3 linked regions of the Tamandua tetradactyla genome follow. The protein of the gene in region 2 purifies or fractionates together with the protein of the main gene of each other region. This does not show direct contact. Links are inferred from orthologs where the notes say so. Each region holds a gene or a part of one and is shown on either strand. Other genes may lie near its edges.

Region 1 (8,000 bases), on a different chromosome or scaffold from region 2:
CCTTTAGCATCTGGCAGATTTCTGCTCTGTACCCACATTTACCAAAAGACATGTAAAAGAATGTTCAGAGCAGCAATATTCATATTAGCCCCAAACTGAAAAACTATGTATATATCTATCAACAGCTAAGGGATAAATGAATTATAGTACATTCATATAATGGATGCTATGGAGAATGGAAATGAACAAACTACTGTTGCAGCCACAACATAGATGAATTGGACAAGCATAATACTGAGCGAAAGAAGCCACACAAAAAAGAACATTCTGTATGGTTCCATGTACATAAAGTTTTTTAAAAAAAGGATAACTAACTAATCTATAGCATTAGAAGTCACAATAATGGTTACCCTGAGGTAGGAGGATGTAATGACTTAGAAAGGGGCATTAGGGGAGCTTCTGGTGTCATGAAAATATTATTTCTTAATCTGAGAGGTGGTTTCAAGGTGGGGCATTTTCTTTGTGAAGATTCATCAAGCTCTATACTGTATACTTATAACACTTGGGTATATTAAGGTTTTACAACACTAAGAAGTTTATCTACAAAAAAAACAAAACCCTGAAAACTGTCCATTGTATAAAAGGATTACATGTTACAGTTAAAGAGCAACACATGTATTCAAATCCTCAGTTTTTGTTTAAATTACTTATTTTATGTGATGACCGCTTCAGTGTATTCAGTCAATAACAAGTGAATATTTAGATAGGAAGATAATACACACTTACATGAAGGTCACAACATGGAAGAAAGATAAGCCTAAAATTAAGGATCTCTGTTATGAACATAGATCAAAGATTTATTCCTCCTCCTCATTTGTCCTGATACTTCACTCTATTAGAAGAAAGAGAAGAAGAAAAACAAAGAGAAGAAAACTTCTCCTCCAGGCTCTTCTTTAAAACCTCTGGGGTGGGGGGATGGGGGGGGAGGGGAGGGGGAGGTCACCAGGACCTAGTGCTGCACTATCTGTTAAAAATTTGTTACCAGCCAGGGGGCAGAGACTAGATGTTCCCAGTAACTCCCACTCTATCTAAACCACAGCCTAGCTGAGCAAAGAGCAGATCAGACTATTAGGCAGATCCCGGTTGAGAACTGTAACCCAAACAAGCCACTGTCTGCCCCAAGGTGCTAGCTGTGGATAGGTCACGAACCCAAATCTGTCAATAACTTTAGAATTTCCCTCCTCATCAATAATTGTGGCAATCATCTCTGCAAGTAAACACTTAGCAGAGAGAAAATCCCTCTTCTTGGCCCTCACAGGTTAGCTCTCCGAAAGAACGCCCACCCACTTAGCACTTGAAGGTCGTGGTTTCCTGACATCTGTGAAAATGGGGAGGGGAGAATGGGTCGTCAAGGGGAGCTGCCTTCCCAAAGGAGGTACGGGATGAAGCCCTGAGGCCAGAGCCCCGCCTGGCTTCCCCGTGAGCGGAGAGCGCCCGCCTACCGGTACGCTAGTACCTACTGGTCCCCCGGGCCATTCGCCGGGACTGCGGCAAACAACCTCCGCCAAGCTGCTGGGGAGCGCCCGCGGCTGCGCCAACCTCGGCCTCCCGTGCTCAGAGACAGCTCGGGCCGACACCTACGAGCCCCTCAGTGAATAGTCACCTGTCAATCACTTGACCTAAATACACCGGCCACTGGGGGAGTGGGGGGGTGGGGGGGATTAGTAAGAGCATGCTCAGTAGTGGGGATGACATCACTTCATCAATGCTGGGTCGGGAAGGCTGCATCAGCAGCCTAGAGCCGACTACCAGGAACGTGTCAGCCGGCACCTGGGGGCTCCGATTAACTCAGTCCCTCCCCAGGCAGCTCGCGTACAAAGGCGGCACCGGCAGCCACATGCCAGGAACCGTGTAGGGGTCAGGAAAGGGGGACCAGGCTGACTATGTCTTTAAGAACTAAAAAAAAAAAAAAAAAAAAAACCAATGGCATCCCCTCCCCCCACCAGCAGCCCCACAGCAGAGGGAGCTAAATAGGGGGCCCAGGCGGAGGGGGCAGGGAATGGGGAGAAGAGTGGTTAAGACCAAGGAGCCCCTAACCACACAAGTAACTTCTGCTCTTGGCACAGACGGGCTATCTGGATGCGTTCTTGCCCCCCTAGCTCCACACGTGGGAACCCAGCCCCCCCACACACTCCACCCAGTGAAAAGCACATTCGAGGGTCTGTGGACACAAGGTGGGGTTCGCCCCAGCCGGGAAGTGTCAAACCTAGGCTCCTCGTCCAGGCAGCCTGGGTTGAGGGCAAGCAGAACGAGACACAACGGACCTCCTGGGACCACCAAGGCCGCCAGTGCCCCCCATCTACCCTCGCCTTGCGCGAGCTGAGCAAGGTGAAACATCGCGGGAAGCCGCGTCTACACGGCCACGGAATCCCCGAGCTGAGGCCTGGATTTTTCTTCTTATTTTGTTAAGGTCGAGAGAAGAGACAAAGTGTTCGATAAATCGAACAGACGCCTGCAAGCATTTGTGGGTTGCAGAGCTCATACTTCCAAGGGGGTCCAAGCGCCCCGACTTAAGAGTACCTCGAAGAGACTACCCATGCGGCATGGCCAGGGTGGGAAACAATAGGCCCACCCGGGCCCCCACCCCGCGAACAATGGCGGCGCCCAGCCCTTCCTCGCCCCCACCCCCACCACTGCCACCCGGGACCCGCCCCACCACCCACAGCCGACCCTCCTCCTGCCCTGGAGGGACCTATGGGGCTGGGGAGTGGTCTCTCCTCGCGCCCACCCGGATTGGGGAGCAGAAGGGGAGCCCCGCGGGCTTGTCCGAAGGGGCGGCCAGCGCATTTACGCTCAATCTGGGGCGTCGGGGCACCCGGCTGCGGCGCGAAGCGGGAGGGGAGGTCAGACGCCCCGGCCACTTACCCCGATCACCACGGTCTCATCGCCTTTAAATTTGGGGATGAATTTGTCCCCGCGGAGGATCTCGGCCTCATTGAGGGGCCGGAACCGGCACATCACTTTGATGCTGCATTCGGCTGGATCCGCCATCTCGGCCAGCGGCGGGGAGGGGGCGCGGGGATGGGTGGGGGGCCGGGGCTCGGCACCACGAGGAAGGAGGCCGCGGAATGCACCGCCCGCAGCGTGGCCGCCTCCTGCAGCCTCCGACGACGCTTCTCAGCAGGTCATAGCTCAGCTGGCTGGGCAGCTCCCGCCGCTCCGAGACCGGGGAGGTGGCAGCCTACGAGCCCCCGATCCCGCCAGCTGCACACCTGCCCTGCCCAGCCCTCGCCAGGGGCCCACCCGCCCGCGACCACGCGGAGGGCAGACGAGGCGATGCGCAAGGAGGGAGCTTTGCTGGGCTCAGACCTCCCGGGCTCCTGCGCGCTCAGCCATCCTGCTTCAGCACCAGCGCGCTTCGCAGCCTCCGGGGCCCGCCCCTCCGCACGCCCCCCGCCCTGCGGCCCGCCCCGGGACGGTGACGTCACTGCGGGGCCTGCCCCGCCCCTGCCCGGCTCTCAGCGTAGCGCCGCGCATCTCGGGACTTGTAGTCGCTGCATGTGCAGGTGGAACGTCAAGGACACTTGTAGTTAGCTTTCGGGAACAGGGTGGTGCACCAGGTGCGATTTCCGAGAGCCTACAAGTCTGGTCTGACTGCCCAAGCCAAGAACTGGATGGAAGGTCATATCCAATATTCCCAGTTAAAATTTATATAGAAAACCATGTCTATATAATCTCTTACCACTTCTCCTGATTCCAAAGGAGAACCACTTATTAAGACAGTGTCCAACCAGAACTGTCATCCAGCATTTTCTTTGCTCTGAAGACTGTTGTAGGAGTTGTGAGTAAATCGGGGGGCAGGGGTGGAGGATGAGATTTGCCATGGATATTTGAAACCAGTTATACCTGGGTTTGCCTGTATATACAAAGGATTCATAACATATTTTGGGTCGGGGCCTCAGCTTATTTCTGATGAAAGTTAGGAAAATTTTCCATGGCAAAAAAAATAAAATAAAATAGCCTTAAACAACCACATGATTTTGCGTGCTATTCAGAAGTCTCCAGGACAGCTGAAGCCTACCTGTCACTCCTAGGTTAAGAAACTCTTAAATACTATTAAATGCAGTTAAGATTATAGAATTCCACCTAAATTTCTACTTAGGATTCTGCAGAATAAACAGAATTTGTTCAGATCAAGTCCAAATTCCTTCACAGGATACACCCAGACCCCCATGATCCGATTTTTGCCTATTTATTTAGCCTCGTCTCTTGCCACTACTTGCCTTTTACACTCTGACAAATACCAGACTATGTGTGGCTTTCTCCATTTACCATGTTACCTCTTGATTCTGATACTTTGTTTAGGCCATTTGCTCTCCTGGAATTTCTCCACCCATTCATGCCCATTACTAAGTGTTACGGGTTGAATTGTATCCCACCAAAAGACATGTTCAAGCCCTAACTCCCAACCCTGTGAATGTGACTTCATTTGGAAATACGGTCTTTGGAGGATGCAGTTAGTCAAGATGAGACCAGTCTGATCAGGGTCCTTATAAGAAGGAAGAGGAGTCACCAATTCAGACACAGGGGAGAAGACTATGTGGTGACTGAGGCAAAGACCGAGGCCAAGAAATGCCAAGTTTTGCCAACAAACACCAGAAACTGGAAGAAGCAAGAGAAGATTCTCCCCTACAGATTTCAGACTTATAGTCTCCACAACCATGAGACAATAAATTTCTGTGTTTTAAGCCATCCAATTTATGGTACTGAGACACTAGGTAAATGTGTCAGGGCTCTTATGATGGAAAGCAATAGAAAGGCCCCTTGACCCAATCAGGCAAAGAGGGAGTTTTCCAAAAGGATACAGATGTATCTTGCTTATTCAAGATATGATTGAGCAACTGAGCCAGAGGCAGGGCAGGCCACCAGGACTCTCTTCTCCTCCTCTGCTCCCTGTTCTCTTACTCTTTCTCACTCTACAGCCTCCCTCTACATGGCAGGAAACCCAGCTTCCAACAGCCCTTGAGGTTCATTTTTCAGTTTCTACCATTAGAGGATAGATTCTTGTTCAGAGTTTTGGCTGAAAAATCCTAGGGAGAGTCTCTGATTGACCTGCGCTTGAGTTGGTGACTGCCCATACACAATCAACCAGAGCTAGGGACTCTGTAAAACCATGGAGAAATCCCAAAAGAGGATGCTAGTCCCAGTAGAAGGGTGTGATGCTGGGCTGGCAGAACGATGAGGTGTCCACTCTAACTTGCCAGTGCTGCCTTTTCCTCTAAGACTCAGCTCAACCCTCCCTATTCTATGAAGCCTTCCCTGACTCACTAAATGCCAGCACAGAGCTGGTGGTCCTCCTTGAGGTTCCCATAGTCTCCTGTGCATGTCTCTATCATGGCACTTCCACAGGTAATGTCATCTGCTTCATCTTTGGGTCTCTAGCACTTAGTAGGCAGCATATAGTGAGTAAGAAATCCAGTTTAGGAGGAAGTTACACCTGAGTGATTGAGCTATACCCAGTTCTGTCACTTACTAGACCCATAGCAATGTACTGAATTTTTTTAAGACTCAATTTCCTCATCTCTGTCATTGGAATAATAATATCATCTCATAGGGTTTTTGAGTGAATGAAAGGAAATAATGCTTTGAAGGCCCCTAAAATGATCCCTGATACGAAATAGAAGGAATGTGGCTTTGTGGGTAATGGTATGGGTTCTGGACCGAAACTACCAGAATCAAAAGCCTGTCTCTGTCAGGCATTGAAACATGTGGCCATGACCCCTGACACATACATGGTATAAACCTTTGAATGTCAATTACTATTATTATTATTGGGTGTGCAACAAAAAATTATGTAATAGTTATTTAGTTAATTTTAGGATCACATCTTTTGCTTAAATCCAGGTATACCTCAGAATACAAGTCCTCTGACTAGCAGAGAGGACACGCTTAATAAAATTCACTGTTATGAACTACTGTACGCAGCACCAATTTGGTTTCCTGTTCTCAGATGCAGTGAAAGTAGGTTAAAGAAGGCCCAAGTGCCACTCTCATCTGTTTTCACATGAAGTAGTTCTAAGGTGCTGGCTAGGGAACCAGCATATTCAGTGGTCAGCTTCATGAGATACTGGAGAAGGCAGTCTAATCTCCAGCCTCCCTGGGCCCAGCAGAGAATGCCCAGAAGCTCACACACAGCCCACCAGCTATCTGGTCTGTCTGAGGTGGTCAAAATCGTGGAAACCCTTGAGGTGGACAGAGATCTACCTGCATTGACTGAGTTCACTCTTCATTCATGTGTTCATCCATCCATCCAATATTAATGTGCAAGTGACATTTGCTGCTATATAAATGTAAGGCTATAAAGTGAGCCTTTTTTCAAGAGGACTACCACAGGTTCCCCACTTAGGTAGGAGTTGCAAAATAGTTGCTGCCCTCAGAGAACTTAGAAACAAGTTGGGGGGCAGAGGATGAAGTCTTAGTGGTACCTGGGAAGACTTCATCAAGGAGATGGGCTAGGTAGTAGTCACAAAAGGAAAGGAAGGGAGGGAGGGAGATATTTTGGTCATTGGGGTTAATTCCCTGACATCCTTTCCACCCCTCCCGTACTGTGTAGCATGAACATGGTTGGAGAATTGTCCCTTGCTCCAGGTATGGACTCTAATCTGTCAGTCAAACGTAGTCATCCCTGCCTTTTTGCCAGGGATTGGTTCAGGATGGGCAGGCTAATGCCAGTTTAGGCAAAGGAGACAAAGGTACAAGTTTGCCAGAAGTTTGGAAAGACATTCTATTACTCAACCATCACTCCCCAGCTACTGGAAACATGCTGTGACCACATGGAGAATTAGACTTAAAATAAAGCCAAAGCTGCGGGACAGCAGGAGCCAAGAGACCCAAAAATTTGGGTCCTCAAACTGGTGAATCTGCCAAACCCAACACCTGCTCTACTCTAGACTTCTTGTTCATGAGTGATAAACTTGCCTATCCCTTAAGTCAGTGTTCTGTTAGTTGCGGCTGAAAACGTCTCAACTGATACAAGAGAATAGTTAGGGGAGAGGACAACAAGGGCCAAGGTATAGAGATCAGATAAAGCTTGGCATGGCCAGGGACAGTGAGGAGACCAATGCAACCTGAGTGGGATTAGTAAGAGATTAAGTCAAAAGGCAAGTTAGTTTCCAGACATGAAAAAACTTAAAGGTCAAACTAAGGATTTTTATCATTGGGCTAAGCTGGAACCATCTCTGGACACAAAGCAAATCAATCAATCACAGCATTTATGGCATTTGGTTCTGTGACCTTATACTCTCCAGACCTCCGCGAGCCACTGGTAGCTACTAAGCACTTAAAATGAAGCTGGGAGGTGAATTTTTATTTTATTCATTTTAATTAATTAAAATTTAAATTTATAAACCAATGCTCAATTATTGGAAAATTTTTAAGTATATGGAATAATTTGGTATGTGAATCTACCTTTTCAATTGTAAATTTTTTGAAATCTAAATACACAGCAAGCATTTCTCATAAAAATTTAGTGCCCAAAACCAGATGTGCTATATTAAAAAAAAAACAAAACAGGATTTTGAAGACTTATGTATGAAAAAGAATGTAAAATAACTCATAAATAATTATTCTATATTGCTTACATATTAAAATGAAAATACTTTGGAAATGTTGGGTTAAATGAAACACATTTTTTTACTGTGAAAAATAACACATTTGCAAAAAAGCAATATATACAATATATATATACAAAAAATTTCCAAGCACACTGCCACAATTAGTTGTAGTACAGATTTCAGAGTTGGGTATGAGATACAATTTCACAATTTTAGGTTTTTACTTCTAGCTGCTCCAAGACACTGGAGAGTAAAGAAAATATCAATATAATGATTCAGCAATCATACTCATTTGTTAAATCCTATCTTCTCTGTTATGACCCACCTTCTCCTTTGAACTTTCTCCCAGTATTTAGGGTTATCTGGGCTTTGCCCATTCTAACTTTCCCATGTTGGAAAGGGCTGTTAATAATATGGGACAGGACGATGGAACTAGTTGATGTTCTG
Region 2 (7,748 bases):
ATACTGTATTTTAGACAGCGATAACTGCTAAGGTGAAAGATAAAGTAGGGCAGGGTTTCAGTAACGTGGAGGGAAGGTGCAGGCTGCCACACTTCCAGAGTCCCGACTACGCCTGCGTGCTGGTGAGGGCAGCAGGGGCAAGAGGTGGGGGGTGAGGGCTGTGGGACAGCAGCAAGAACTCCAGCAGAGGACCATACGGTCTGACTCACATTTTAACAGTACCACTCCAGCTTTGCTCCCTGGATTCCTCCACTCCCAATCTTCCCCACCCCATTCCTGCCAGTGCCCCCACCATCACCCCATTGCAAGTCACCAAATCAGATCCCCTCTAGCCGTTAGTTAAACCCTTCTAATCCCACCATTCCTCTTGGTTCCCACCGCGAGAGTTTGCGCTCACCTGGACTCCTGCCAATAACTCCCAAACTAGTCTCCATCCTTCCATCTCTGTTCAAACCACCTACCACACCACTGTCTGCACCCGCTAATCAACTAGTACCTCCAGACCTCCTTAAGCCCCTCAGGAAGAGACCAGCCTCCTGTACAACCAAGACACCTTCCATAAGCTCATCTTTCCATTCTTACCCTTCAGCCCTTCCTAACATTTCCCCCTTACTGGAGGAAGACTTCACTCTCTGCACAGAACCAGCTCCCACCCATCGTGACTCAGATCAGGAGTCACCTCCTCTAGACCCTGCCTTCCCTGGTCCCCACCCCTTCTCAGCACACTCATCACATAATCTACCCTCACCTACGATGCCTAGCTGTTTAATTCTGGGTCTCCCTCACCCCACCCACCCAGACTAGAATTTCCTAGAGAATGACTCTCTTTTATCGCCATATCTGCAACTGCATGGCACAGAATCTAGCATTTAGGGAGTTTGGTCCTCAATAGACATTTGACGGTGGGTTTTTAAAACACCATGCTTTCATGATCTGAATTTGCTTACCATTTTTATTCTATTCCCTGCAGTGTGGTACTTAAAATTTTCCTTTACTCTTGTTTAAGATACACTACTCAATTATCTTTGTTATATAAAATACTGGTTTATCATACCACTTACTTGGTGACATATCTACTAAAAATGCTCCCAGATTCATTTTGTTCAATTTTTGGCTTTTTCTATTTCTAGTTTTCTTTTTACAGAATTATGTAACATGCTTAAACAGTTTTCAGACCTATATGGAAAGCTACATGTTGGCTTTTTAGACAACATTATGAAACATAAGGAAGAATATGTAATTTTAAAAATTGCAGTTAGTTTTTATTTATTGTGAAACACTGAAAACACTGTGCATCTTTCAGAGGACATTTCCTTCCTCCCTGCTAGCCTCCTTGGATCTGATCACTGTCCTCAATCCCCCATATTTTTTAATATGCCCCCTATGTATTGCCTAGTGTTTTTATAAGCAAACACTGCCAAGAAAAGTAACCCTGGGTCCAGTGAGGCTTCCACCCTGGCCTTCCAGAGTACTGGGCAAGGAGCACTACCAGCACCAGGGGTCAATATGACAGTGCATTCCTTGATGACTTGGGGAAAATTGTTTCTACCCTCCCATAAATAATTTCCCACAACCTGAACATTTTAGTAGTTAACGCCAGTGTATTCTTAAAAATACTTAGGAAACAACAATGAGTCAAATTTCCCTCTATGACAGGCTTGTTGCCAACCTGATTCAATTATGAGACTCAATGAGGTTGTTCCAATTTCCTAATGGGTTTTTCACTCAACTATTACAACTTATTGCCAGCTACTTGTTTTGATCAATGGCTCAGTTATGTTATACAAAACAAAGAACCAACCAACCAAACAAAAACTATGGAATTTAACTAATGCAAAGAACCAAATACCCAACTGCCCTTTCACACAGCAATTTAAATAGCATGTATCTTCACTTTTCCGTTGTTCTCATGCTTTTTAAAACACCACTTTTGCAAGTACTCCTTACCACACGCTGAAGATTCAACAACTCAAAGATAGAAAATACCTGGAAAAGACTTACAAATCTTAAGTTATAAAACCATGCAGTCCACCACGCACTGATTTTAGCTTTTAAATGCTTTATTTAATTTTAATTTTTTTTTTCAAGACAAGAGGGACGCCAAATTTTATAACCGAAAAAGTATTTCAAGACTGAAAAAAAAAGTGCTCCACGACGGAGGCTGCAGCATGCTAGGTGCAGCAAGGCCACTCTGAGTTAAGCCCGCGCACAGAATCTTTTCCCATCGGGTTATTAAAAGAAAGGGGCAGGCGACGCTGGACCTCTGCTGAACCCGGCCCCGGATGGAGGCCCGGGCGGCTCCAGTCGCCGACGAGGATGACAGGCGCGTCCGCCCAGGGCGGTGCCCGGGAGAGGGCGGGGGCGGAAGGAAGGAGGAGGATTCGGACAAAGCAGACCCCGGGCGGCGGCACTCCTCCCCACTAGCCCCGTCCCCGGGGCCGGCCACCACCCCGTCGCGGCGACTCCCGCGACCCGCAGCGGTCCCCGGGAACTACCGCCCCCGCCCGCCGCAGGGCCGAGCCCGGCGTGAGGGAAGGGGGGATGCGGGGGCGGGGGATGTTGGGCCCGGGATGCGGAGTGCCGGGCGGGGAATGCGGAGCCGGGAACAAGGGTGAGGATGGACACTGGGAACGGACCGGTGCGAGACAGGGAGCCGGGCAGGGGTACAGAGGAGTGGCCGGGAACCGGGAAAGGTTACCGGGCAGGAGCCAGGAGAAGCACCGAAAGGAGACCCGGGAGGAGCCGGGGACCGGGGCTGTTGTCGGGAAGACCCGGACGGGCATCGAACCCGGACGGAACCGAGACCTGGCCGGGGACCGAGGAGACGGCCGGGGCCAGGAAGGTGACAGGCCGGCGACCATGCCGCGGCCCTCACTCACCGTCCTGCTCCTGCGGGGGCCGCGCTCGCCACGCGCTGACAGGACGTGGAGGGCACGGGCCGCCGACGGGCCGCCCGCCGCGCGCAGAGAAGCTCGGTGTCTCAGGCGCGGCGCCGCGGTCACGAGCGAGAGGTGCTGACCCGGCCGCCGACCCGCAGCATCCTCGGCCGGCCGCCGCGCTGTCCCTCTCGGTCGCCGAGCGCAAGCACGAGGCTCCTCTCCTCGCGGCTCCTCTCCTTGCAGCCGCCGCCGCCGAAAGGCGCTCAGAGCTCCGCAGCCGGCACCGCTTCCGCCGCCGAAAATGGCGCCGAGCCCCTCCCCCGCGCCCCGCCCCACCCCACAATGCCGCGCGGCGCCCCTGTCATGACGTCACGGGCCCCCGCCGCCTGCGCGCGGGGAGACTGAGGCCCGGGAAGGCGTGCCTTTGATGGTCCCTGGCGGTCGGAGCGGAGCCCGTGGGGCTTCGTTCACACTGGGCCGGGACGTGGCGAGGCGTGCGAGGGCGCCGTCCGTGGGCTGCTCGCTGCCGCTCCGCCCGACGCGCTCGGCAGGGCGGCAGAGGAAAATCCGACTCTTCCCCTGCCGGTCAACGCCGCGCCCCCGGCCTCTTCCCACCCGAGGCCCGGCCCCTTTCAGCCTCATACATCGGGAGTGATATTCACTGACAGGCGCTCCTTGTGGCAAGCCCGGGTCGGAAGCCGTATTTGCTCCTTGAAATCGTACCTTGCCCCCTGCAAGGAGGCTTTCTGAGCTCCCTCTGAAGGAAGGGTTCCTGCAAGGCTTGGCCAGACCCTGGGTACGTTCGGGGTCTTAACAGCCGGGCCCCTAAAGGCCCAGGCCCTTGCGCCCGCCTCATCTCCCATTTCCCCTCCCTTGCCGCCAGGGCCCTGGATCCTCAAGAGTGTGAGCTTAGAGGGACTTTCCAGGCCCTCCTTCAAAGCCTACAAAGGCCTCACCCACACTGCACTTGGGGCTGGGAATAGGGGAAAGGGCAGGGTGCTGAACCAGCTACTGCCTGGCAAGAGAAGAGAAGCCCACGCTCTGCTGTCGCAGCCACTGGCAGCATCGCACACCCCTGCTGCAGTGCCTGGACCTCCAGGCCCCTGCAGGGCGGAACTTCCAGGTCAGGGAGGGCCCCGTGTATCCTGCTGCATTGCCAGCTCTGCAGGTCTGACTCAGCAGCCCAGCAACCGGCCTGGAGGCCGGGAGGACGGTGCTGATTCAGGGGGCAAGGCTCAGCTTTCGTTGCCTGCCACCAGCTTGGGAGAATCCTCCAGGTGCCTGAAATATCCCTGTGGCTTTAGGAAGCAGGAGGGCTTCCTGTGTCCGCCTGCATACCCCCCCCCCATTCTGTACTCCTTTCCTGGTGCCTGTCCTCTTCAGATGCTATCCCTATTTTAACCCTGCAGTTACGGGTCACCAGGGAAGTGAGTCTCCTAGGTTTTTCCAGGGAGGTCCAGTTATGTTGAAATATTGAAATATTTACAAATGCTAAGAAAGGGGGAGCACCTATGGTGACACAGCTGTTACAGAGCCCAAGAGTGAGACAGTGAATCGGACGGAGTCAAGTCCCTCCACTGGCCAAATCGCGCCTGGTTGTCACCGGCCTTAACTTGCCTGCTTCTCAGCCACTGCTGTAGGCCCAGGCCCAGCAACTGCAGGCAGGGGACCTGTGAGCATCCACTCTCTCCTGCGTAACAGGCTGAGCAGAGGCTCATTTATCTTTCTGTGCCTCTAGGCTCAATAAGTGGCATTTCCAAGCACCCATCACCCAAGCAAGAAACCTGGGGCCCTTATGCCCCACTTCTGAGGGGTGGCAAGATCCCACCTCAGTATTTATTTAACTCATCTCTTCCCGGTTCCCTTCACTGCCACAGGTGCAGGCTTTGTTATCTCATTCATTTATTCCTTAAGCAAATATTTCTTGAGCTCTTTTGATTCCCACTAAAAGAGCCAAGAATGTGTTGGTGAGCAGGGTAGAGAAGATTCCGGTTCTGCAGCAGTCTACATTCCAGTGAGAAGAGACAGATGGACAAACACATGAAGTGGGGAATATCTGAGCATGCCGTGCCATGATCAGGGTGAACATAAAATGATATGTACAACAGACATGGCTCAGAGACCACGCTGGGCAAGCAGTGAGGGATGGGCTCGGAGTTAGGGCAAGAAAGCTGAGACAAGCAAGGAAGAGACCAGGCAGCACAAAGGTGCAGGGCAAGAGTGCTCTAGCAAAGGTGCTCAGGCCAGAATGAGCTTGGAGGGTTGGGGACAGAACTGAAAGCTGGGTTCATCTACCCCACCCTAACATGTGAATCTAGTGATGTGACTTGAAGTGTTGTGATGCATCCACCCCTCTCAGGGCCAAGTTGAAACTCCTTAACTTCATCTGGAAGACCCACAGGACCCGGTCCTCTTGCCCCTAACACCCTCACCCATGCCCAAGCTCACCTGTTCCCTCCCATGGTCACACCCTGGATTTAAGTGTCCATTCTGCCCAGAATGCACCCCCTGCCCCCTTGTCCTGGCTCTCCTTCAAGATCAGCCAAGAGGTATTTCCTCCAAGAAGACTTCCTCTAAGCTCCCACCTTCCCTAGACTTCCCCCTATGCTCCTTTCCTTCACTATGTGGGCAGGTTACACAGCTGACACCCCCCTCTGATAGTGAGCCCCAGAGCTGGAGGCAACTGGACCCCCTCCTCACCCCCCCCACTGTGAGGGTGAAAAGAGAAAGGAAGGTCAGGGATGGCCTCCTCCAGGTCCTCTTTGCACGGAGCTCCCCTTTGGTGGAGCAGACACTTGAGGCACTCTGACCCCTGGAACTAAGGCCCATCCTCAAGAATTCCCATTCTCCCTTTGGCCAAGCCTTAAAGGGAACCATTAGCAGCCAGAGCTGCCACCCTCCACCCCTCAGCCTCCCTGGAGAGAAATCTGCCTGTCCTCAAAAAGACATGGGTGCTCTGCCTGAAGGCTGCAGGTCTGGTGACTCCGCAGTTACCCTGGGGGTGGTCTCAGGATCTGCCTGGCTGCCCGCTGGAGGGCAGGAGGGAAGGAGGGCAGGGCTGTCCAGGCAGAGGGTCGTGCCCGCCTTCCCTTCACTGCCCTCAGCATCCTCACTCCACTCGCTCTGCAAATTCTGTGATTTCTTGCTGCCTCCAGGAAAGGAATGGCTCCTCAGGTTCCAGAATCAAAACAGGGCCTTGTGCTCCAGATGCAGGCCCAGCCAAGTCATCATCAGTGTCTGGTGGGAACCTGGAAGCGGGGAAGGCCTTGGGGCTACTTCAGAGTCAGCAAACCAATTGCCTGTTCTTCCCCTAAACCAGGAGGTGCAGAGGGCCGTGGGAGCATAAGTGGCTGGGGGGGAGTCCCAGGGTGGACCAGAAATGCCTGTTTGCACAAGTCCTGGCTGTCTCTGAACACCTCTGAGGCCCCCAGGCTGTGGGGGATTAGCCAGCGGCTCTTCAGCACGCAGGGTGCCTGCACACCCTGAAAAGGGGGCCCCCGCCTGCCTCAGCCCCCTCCTCCCATCTCTTCTCTGCTTCCCTCTCTCCAAGGCTTCGTCCTCGGCCCTCCTCTGTTTTCTTCTCCTCCTAAGCCAGCCCCAGCTCCCCCACTGCTGTGCTCCCACACTGGAGAGAGTCACAGGCAGCATGGAAATCTGGCCAGGCTGGGGCAGAAGCGACACCCTTGGAGGCAGCCGCTAGGGCCCAGCAGACCCCAGGGCTGAAGTCCCTGTTGCAGGGGCAGTGAAAACGTCCAGCTGGGTCCCGTGAGGGCGCAGATAGCGACCTCTTGGAGTTTGTCAGGCCGGAGGCCTCACAGATAATCGGGGAGCATGCCACCCCGTATTCGTTCTGTCCCCATTGTTGACTGAGGACTGCATGTGTGAGGCACCCCGGGCCTGGGACACACAGTGGAGGAGGGACACTCGCTGGGCAGGTGGGCAGGCCCCACAGGTGAAGGTCAGGGGGAGGGCGCCGGGCCAGATGGGTGCTGAGCCAGGCAGTAATTGTCTTGGGGAAACCTGGGTTGGCGGGGGAAAGGGGGTGTCTGTTCTTTTAGCATTGATCATTTTCCTGTAAACTCTGGATTTCTGTCTCCCAGGACAGCCAGGAGCCCCTTTAGGGCAGGCAGGGGTTCTGGGTTCATCTTTGCTCCTGAGAACCCTGCACTGGTAGGCATCATCCTCAGTGAATTTAAGGGAAAGGGGGAGGGGGAGGAAAGAAAGGAGGAGAGAGAGAGGGAGGGGGAGAAGAGAACCCAAGAAGAGAGGAGGAAGGGCAGCAGCAGGGCGCGGGGAGCAGTCCTGGAGCGCGGTCTGCGGTCTGCAGGGCTCAGGCTTGGGGACGGGGCACGGGTGGGGCCTGGCCGGCATCCTGCCCACCGGGGTAGCCAAGGGGCCCGGGGCCAGTTCAGGCTCTGACCTGCTGCACTCTCTGGGTCTCTGGCTTTATGGTCTAAAGATGGATTTTATCAGATTTCCAGGTTCCTCTTGCGTGCCAGCTGCCAGGCGGAAAGTTCCAGTAACTGTTTCCTTCAGAACAAGGGGAACACCAGAACACACTCCCACTTTGGGTGGAAAGAGATGGCATGAAGGGGTGCGGTGGCCCACCCCACCCCTCTCGCTGGCCCTCTGGCCCTTTCTGTCTTTCACACACACGCACACACACTTGCACCAACCCACCCACTGTTCTCTAAGGGGAGGGGAATAGAGGCCAGGGACTGCTGGTTTAAATCCGGCTCCCCAGGGGTGCTCCCCAGGAGTGCTCCCCAGGAGCCAGCGGGACTCCTGTCTTGGAAGAACTCAGCTTCAGTTCTGTGAAAACGCTCATTTGAGAGTGGGGAGACTGATAAGACCCCTGGTCACCTATCC
Region 3 (6,989 bases), on a different chromosome or scaffold from region 2:
CCGCTCACCCGCAGCATAGCCAAGAAAGATAAACAGAGAGACACGTAAGTTGGTCCAGTGACAAAACTACATTGGGATCCTGAGTGACACAAAGAGCAAAATGAGATGCACATCACACAGAGACGGTGACCCAGACACTATTCTGCTATGACTCAGGCCATTAACTTTGGCTAAGCTCCATCCCCCAGATTCCTGGGGGAAGTCAGGGGAGCAGGGGAGGGATAAGGTTCGCAGAGCAGTCTCTCCAGCTTATTCACCCACCCGTTGCCAAGCAGAACAAAGCCCACTGACATAAGGGACTCTGAAGCCCAGAGCTAGCCGCCCGGCCATGCTGCAGAGGTACAGAGGAGAGCGGTTATAGGAAGGAGCAGGGCTGGGTTTGGAGAGATGGCCCTTCCCAGTTTTGCTCTTCCCTCATCTTCCCAGACAGCATAAAGAAGCTTCTGAAGCTTCTTCCATTAATTTCTCAAACTGTTCCCACACACTGGGTCCTAAAGGAAGACCAGCGGAAAAAAGAAGGAATGGGGATAGATGACTATTCCATGTTCCCTCAAAACCACTGCTCCTATAGCCTCATTCCCCTAAATGAGGAAGGAATAATAAGGCTGGGAAGGTAAACCTCCAGGATGCTGCCTGAGACAAAATGGCCCCTCACAAGCATTTATCTCGGAGTGAGAGATTGACTGGGAGGGCTAGGGCATGGGAAGATTCCCAACTAGACAAAGGTATAGTCCTACAAATATAGAGCTAAACAGACAAGGAAGTGCTAGCTGTGGAGCTGAGATAGAATCTGAATGGGCAGAGGGCCCTGGACTTCTCTTCATCTCTCCTCCTTCCCCACCTCCCACTGGTCTCTTCTGTTTAGCTAGGCTACTTGGACAGATCGACAGCATACCCCTTTCTCCCAGCATCACCCTCTGCTCCACATTCAGCACACCAGGATGGCCCACAGAGCCCAAAGGAGTCGGTTCAGACTTACCTGAAAAACCTTCTGGGGCAAAGAAGCTAAGCTTAAAAGAGGAAGCTTTTTGTGTGTTTTCTCCTCCATAAACATCTCTTTCCAATTTTTCAGCCTTCATTTCAAAGGAGGACCTCAAACTCTAACTTTTATAGCTAATGCCTACTGTCCAGGCTACTCAGATAAGGGTCACCCCCAATCCCTCCCTGGGGATGATTGAGGCCCTTTTTTTTTTTTTTTTTTTTTTGGCCTAGACAGAGTGACAAGACTGTAAGACCCTCTGAGAGCAAGGCCTGGGGTCCTAAGGCAAAAAGAGACAAATCTCCACATGCAAACACACATATAAGGCAAAAGCACCCATTTGAGTTCACAACATGGGTGAGGGCACAGGGTGGTGACAGACTAGGGCCCTTGGGAACAGGTAAGCAGGTCTCTTCCTAAGACATGTTTATTTAAAGTCCCAAATTCACTGACTCAGGGGGCCCATGCTCCCTCCCCTCCTTCCCTTTATTCCTTTGACAGGCCTGTTGCCAGCTGCCTGTGGCAAGCATTGTGGATCAAAGATATATAAGTAGCCCTGACCTTGAGAAGATTGGGGTCTACCCTCAGATGTGCCACTCCCTTCACTAAAAGGGCAACCATTTCCTGGCCTAGCACTCTTCAAGACCATAGGACTCAACCCCCAGGTCCTTTCACCCGACAGCCTGATGGTGCCTACTAATCTAGGAAAGGTGGAATGAGTGAGGCCTAGGAATTCCCTATGGGCCATAGCAGATAAAGGTCCCGAACAGAAATCTGGGGAGACAGTGTGATGTCGAGAAAAAAAAACATGAGTTTTTGAGTTACAGATTTGGATTCAGATCCATAACTGTGTGACCTTGAGAAAGTCATTAAACTTCTTTGGGTCTCAATTTCCTCATCTATAAAATGGAAATCTCAATACTTACTTCAGAGCGATGTTTTGAGGATTTAATATGTAGAACAACAAACACACAATAAATATTAGTTCTCTTAATAAGATCTCCTGCATGGGAAGGGGCTGTCACAATGAGGTAACAATGGCTTGCTACTTCTTACTGGAGCATCAACAGAAAGGGTGAATAAGCAAGTATTTATTAGGATTTCAGCGTTCTGGCATTTTTACTTTTTGGAGGGGTAGGATAGGAGGGGTTTGAAATCCACTTACCACTGTACCTGGGACGGATAGATAGACATTTCCTTAGGACCCCAGGGGTTCCCCCCAAATCGGGTGTGGCATTAAAGTATTCCTTTCCCAGAAAACCCTTCACTAGACCTGAACCCTCCCCCGCTCCCAAGTCCAGGCTAATTAGTTTGGGGGATGATGGAGGGCTTGATTCTGGAGCCCACTCCCATTCATACCTCTGCACAGACCCTGGGCTGCCCACTTCGCTTCTAGCCCATCCACTAGCCTTCCCCCTCCTTTCCTGGGAGGCTGGGGTAGAGATCGGAACCAATAACAAAGGGAAGACAGGCCTTCTCTAGGGGAAATGGAAAACATCAGAAAAACACCGGACTACCTTTCAGGGATGCGGACTCAGCAAAGAGGAGTGGAGTCCCCAGATCTCTGGGAAGTAGCCCCCTCCCACTCTGCGGAGACTTGGCCACCGGCCTGGGCAGGCCACACCCAGCCATCCAGATGCAGGGGAGAGGAGGGACTGCGGCGAGGAGGATGGAGGGTGGAAGATGAGCGGTGGGGAGGGGGCGCAGAGAGACAGGTAGGGAGCAAGGCTCCGCAGTGGGAAGATTCAGCTTCTCGCCCCCTCCCCGAAATCCCTTCTGGGGGCGGCACTCACCCCAATAACGACGCTGTCGTCCCCTTGAAAAATAGGGATGAACTTGTCCCCCCGCAGAACCTCGGCTTGGTTTAGGGGCCGAAATCGGCAGAGCACCTTGATGCTACACTCGTTGTTTGTCTCCGCCATAGTGGTCCCCGGCGTGGGGCTGGGGCACTTCTTGGGCTGCAGGGGTGGTAAGTGCTCTGAAGGAGGGAGACGCCCAGCTGAGGCCGAGGCGGAGGACAGATGCTCGGTCTCTGGGGCCGAGAAGGATGTGGGGTCGCAGGGGCAAAGGCTAGGGAGCAGGATGGGGCGCGCTTCCTCTCTGCTGCGGCACTGGGATGCGGGAGATCTGCGCGTCTGGTCCTCTCCCGGCGCTCTGCCTCTCCGCCCCTCGCGCTGCAGCGCCTCGCTGCGGGCCTGGGCGGGGCCGCGACGGAGGCGCGGGGGCGGGGCTTCCTCCGCGGGGGGGCGAGCCGCGGGACGCCGACCCCCGAGCGGTGTGATCCTTCCGGTCTTCTCGCTTCCTCCCGGCCACCCCCACCGCCGGACGCTCGGAGAGAACCTTGCCCTCACCCCCTCCCCAACCAATTCACTCCCTGCATCCCACTCCCTCGACCAGTTTGTCCCTCTGTAGGACTCCGCCCCCTGGAAGGGAATAAGAAATCGGAGGTGGGCCTATTCTAGGGAATAGTGTCAACAAGGTTTCCGTCCCCCTTTTTTCCCGGGGCATCCCCCACCTCCTTCACAATCTTCTGTCCTAATTGGGAGCACATTTCTTATTCCTCTATCACCCCCACCAAGCACAGGCGCCGGACTCCTTATCCACTCACCTCCAAGGGCAGCTGCTTTACCGGGAGGGAGGGTGGGACTCCAGGTCCCCTTCTTGGGGGAGAGGAGTGAGAGAAGGGTCTGGCTACTTCTCTCCCCTTCTACACCAAGGGCTGTACTCTATTCTCCCCCCAACCTATATACCAGTTTGAGGGGCAACAAACTCCCATTCTAGGCTTTCAGAATCTAAAAGCCAGTGAAATCCTCATTTCTGCTTCCTAGGTTCAGGTTGGCATGGAAGTGGGTAGGAGTAACTTTTTTAAGAGTCAGAAAGTGCTGAAGGAGAAGTGGTGATGGGCTAGGTGAGACCAGAGGGGCTTGGAAGAGGTTTTCTAGGAGGGATTTCTGCATTCCAGTTTCAAGCAGGTTTAGCACCCTACCTGAGTATGTTTCCTGTCTCAGATACAATTGGACAGAATCTATACACAGCAGTTCCCTTCTCAGGTCTTTCTTCTCTGGTTCTTCCCCTTCCCTAGCAAAAGCCAAACCCAGAGATTGCTTGTCCTTCCTTCATGCAGGGGCTGCAGCCCCTGGACAGAAACATTCAGAAGCTGGCCAAATTGATTTTCTTCCCGTCATAGGCCTCTGCTGACCAACAGGGAGTTGGACTGCAGGTTGAGGCTCTAGGTCAAGGGGAGGAAGGGCAGAATGATGAGAGAAGGGAGGAAGGGATGGAAATTCTGCCCAACAGCTGTCTGGAAAATGTCTGACGTCATTTAGACACTATGGGGCAAGGGTTAGTGGCTGTTGGCCTGACCAGACAAGACACAACCACTCATCTGGGGGAAGGGGCCCTACACATTGGGCCTACACCTTGATCCCAACGTGCATCTTAAAGGAACTGAATGAAAAGGATCCAGCATAAGGAACTGGATGAGAAGGCAGTCTCTATGGAGAAAGAGAGACAGAAGTTTGGGGAGAAGCCAGGAGAGTATGGCTAGAATGACAATGAGTTCCAACTCAGGAAAATAGACTTCTCTCCAGTCACTTGGTCTGGCACTATTTCTAAGTGTTGCAGCATCCTGCAAACTCAGGAAACATCCTAACCTTAGGCTCCCATGGGCTCCAGGGTGGCATCCTTAGTTAAGTAGTTGCAAAATGCCAGAACATGGAAAGTCACTGGGTAGAGACAAAAACCCACTGGGTATACCCCCTCTCTCCAAAAAAAAGCCAACGGGTGTATTTTTCATAAAGTTGGATTTATTAAGTTTAAAAGATTGTCCTTTATTCTGAAAGTCTGTCCTTCCTACTTTTCTACTAATTAATGACAGTGATAATACATAGGTTTTCATTTTCGTTGTACTTACTTGGCAAAATAAAAATGTAGCTATGTTATTTCTATCTTCACAAGATATTTCTATCTTGGTATTGTTGTTGTTTTAGTTTCATTAAGCCATGAAATCCCAAAGTCTGGGAACTATTAGCCAAGTGGTTAGAAGAACAGAGACTGACTGGTCTGCCAACCATTGAGCTACCACTTACCTATTGTGTGAATTTGAGATAGCACATTGCCAGATTAGGAAGAAAAAAAGAGAGGACGCCCAGTTAAATTTAAATTTCATATAAAGAATAATTGTGTATGTTTCAAATATGGCATGGGACATACACTAAAAAAATTGTTTATATGGAATTCACATTTAACTAAGTTCCCTGTACTTTATCCGACAGCTCTAACTTGAGAAGAGTATGTAACTTTTCCATTCCTAATAGACCCTAAGCGTTTTCAAAATTTTACTTTTTATTGTTGTTTCTGAAATCTTTGGCCGTACTGCAGCAGGACTTGCTGTGTGATTTTATCTAGTCACTTATTTTCTGTGAGTTCCAATATATACAACGGATAACTTTCACAGACTTGATGTAAACATGAAAGGAAATAAGTTCTGTGAAATAATTCCCTAAGGTGCATTACTGTCGTACCCTGCCCGAGCCCCGGCCTACCGAGACTACAAAACCCACAATCCTAGGCGGCGACCCCACCCCCACCCCCGCCATTACCTCATTCTCTGGTCTTGTCCTCGCCAATCACCGCCCCGTCAGGGGTGTGGTAGTGGGCTGTTCTCGCGACTGTTGCTTTACCCTTCTCCCTGTGTTGCTACTGTCGCGAGACTTCCGACTGCTCCGCCGCTCCCTTTGCTTCCGCTTTAGCCTGGGACCGGCCTCAACCTCTTCCCTACCCGAACGTCAGCCCCGGCTCCTCCGAGGCCCCGGTCCCCCAACCCCGCCTCGCCGCCTCCATGGCGGACCCTAAATACGCCGACCTTCCCGGCATTGTGAGTACAGGGGCCGGCCCCGGCTCCCCACCAACGCGCCCGCGACTTACCAAGGATCCCCAACAGATACCAACCCGCGACCCCTCCCCCCTGCAGCCCCTCCTCCGCTCCAAGGGCGCTTGCTGCTCCCTTCCCGACGGGCCACAGCACCTTCCCAACGACTCCGACCCGACTGGGCCAGGCTGTCGGCCGGCGCAGCAGGCCCACTTTCCGGCAGTTGCCGGTTACCCGGCCCCGGAATGCACCGGGTGTTTTCCACTTGTGCCCTACCTAGTGTTTCCATCAGCCGTGTTAACACCGCCCGTGCTGTCCCAGATCCCTCCATAAGCTCTCCTCCCAGAACCCCAGACGCACAGGTCACTTGATAATGGCCTTACCCGACCAAGGAAAAGGGTAGGGTGATAGAACCATTCTTGTGCCAGATGTGGAACTCTGCACTACGGGAACTTGTCCCCCGATGCACATGCCGGCATGTACCACTCTGCTTGTGTTGTTGCCCTCCCTGTATCCTCGGGATGGGAGTTGTGCTACGGTAGTGGTGTACAGGGCCTAATTTGAGAATAGCCCTCACCTTCTTCTGACATAATGAGTGCAAAGATTTGCCCCCCTCCAAATTCTGGATAGTATTTTTCTCATCACTAACGCTCACCATTTACTGTCAGGCCCAGATATCTTTACTGTCATCCCCACTCCTCTAAAACATGGGGAACTGACTTGTTCTGGGCAGGCAGAGGTGAAAGGACAGAATCTCAGCATCACACTATGCTTTCTTTGTTAGTTTGGATGCTGGGTAGTGTGGTTGGGTGATCACTGCTTCTACCTGCAGGCCAGGAACGAGCCAGATGTTTATGAAACCAGCGACCTACCTGAGGATGATCAAGCAGAGTTTGATGCGGTAAGACTGTGTGCTGCCTCAGGACCCCTCTGGGCTCTGACCTATCTTCCCCAGGCAGGCTTTCTCCTTTCTCTGGCCAGCAGTAAGCGGGTATGCCAACCCCAGCCTAGCTGTTATGTAGGTTGCAGGGCTTGCAGAGGCCTCTCAGCCAACAAAGAGCAGTGCCATGAAGGAGAGTTACATCTGAGGAATTACAACCAGGAAGACTTGCTGGGAAAGCCCTTATCCTTACGCCTTTT

The links.
Region 1: the proteins of KLC1 (region 2) and KIF5C purify together in Homo sapiens (co-immunoprecipitation; 4 studies listed by BioGRID and IntAct, counting the BioPlex papers as one, with this or other methods). This does not show direct contact. The link is inferred for Tamandua tetradactyla from reciprocal best matches to the Homo sapiens genes KLC1 and KIF5C.
Region 3: the proteins of KLC1 (region 2) and KIF5A purify together in Homo sapiens (co-immunoprecipitation; 7 studies listed by BioGRID and IntAct, counting the BioPlex papers as one, with this or other methods). This does not show direct contact. The link is inferred for Tamandua tetradactyla from reciprocal best matches to the Homo sapiens genes KLC1 and KIF5A.

The regions. Positions count from the first base shown.
Region 1 is NC_135329.1:118,827,443-118,835,442, reverse strand, and holds the start of KIF5C (kinesin heavy chain), read right to left. Parts: upstream 3,007-8,000; 5' UTR 2,992-3,006; coding exon 2,866-2,991; intron 1-2,865. UniProt on the Homo sapiens protein: Microtubule-associated force-producing protein that may play a role in organelle transport. Has ATPase activity. Involved in synaptic transmission. Mediates dendritic trafficking of mRNAs.
Region 2 is NC_135340.1:89,202,522-89,210,269, forward strand, and holds the start of KLC1 (kinesin light chain 1), read right to left. Parts: upstream 3,005-7,748; 5' UTR 2,880-3,004; intron 1-2,879. UniProt on the Homo sapiens protein: Kinesin is a microtubule-associated force-producing protein that may play a role in organelle transport. The light chain may function in coupling of cargo to the heavy chain or in the modulation of its ATPase activity.
Region 3 is NC_135333.1:124,840,198-124,847,186, reverse strand, and holds the start of KIF5A (kinesin heavy chain), read right to left. Parts: upstream 3,007-6,989; 5' UTR 2,902-3,006; coding exon 2,773-2,901; intron 1-2,772. Other genes in the region: DCTN2 (dynactin subunit 2), read left to right, coding at 5,820-5,855, 6,682-6,750. UniProt on the Homo sapiens protein: Microtubule-dependent motor required for slow axonal transport of neurofilament proteins (NFH, NFM and NFL). Can induce formation of neurite-like membrane protrusions in non-neuronal cells in a ZFYVE27-dependent manner.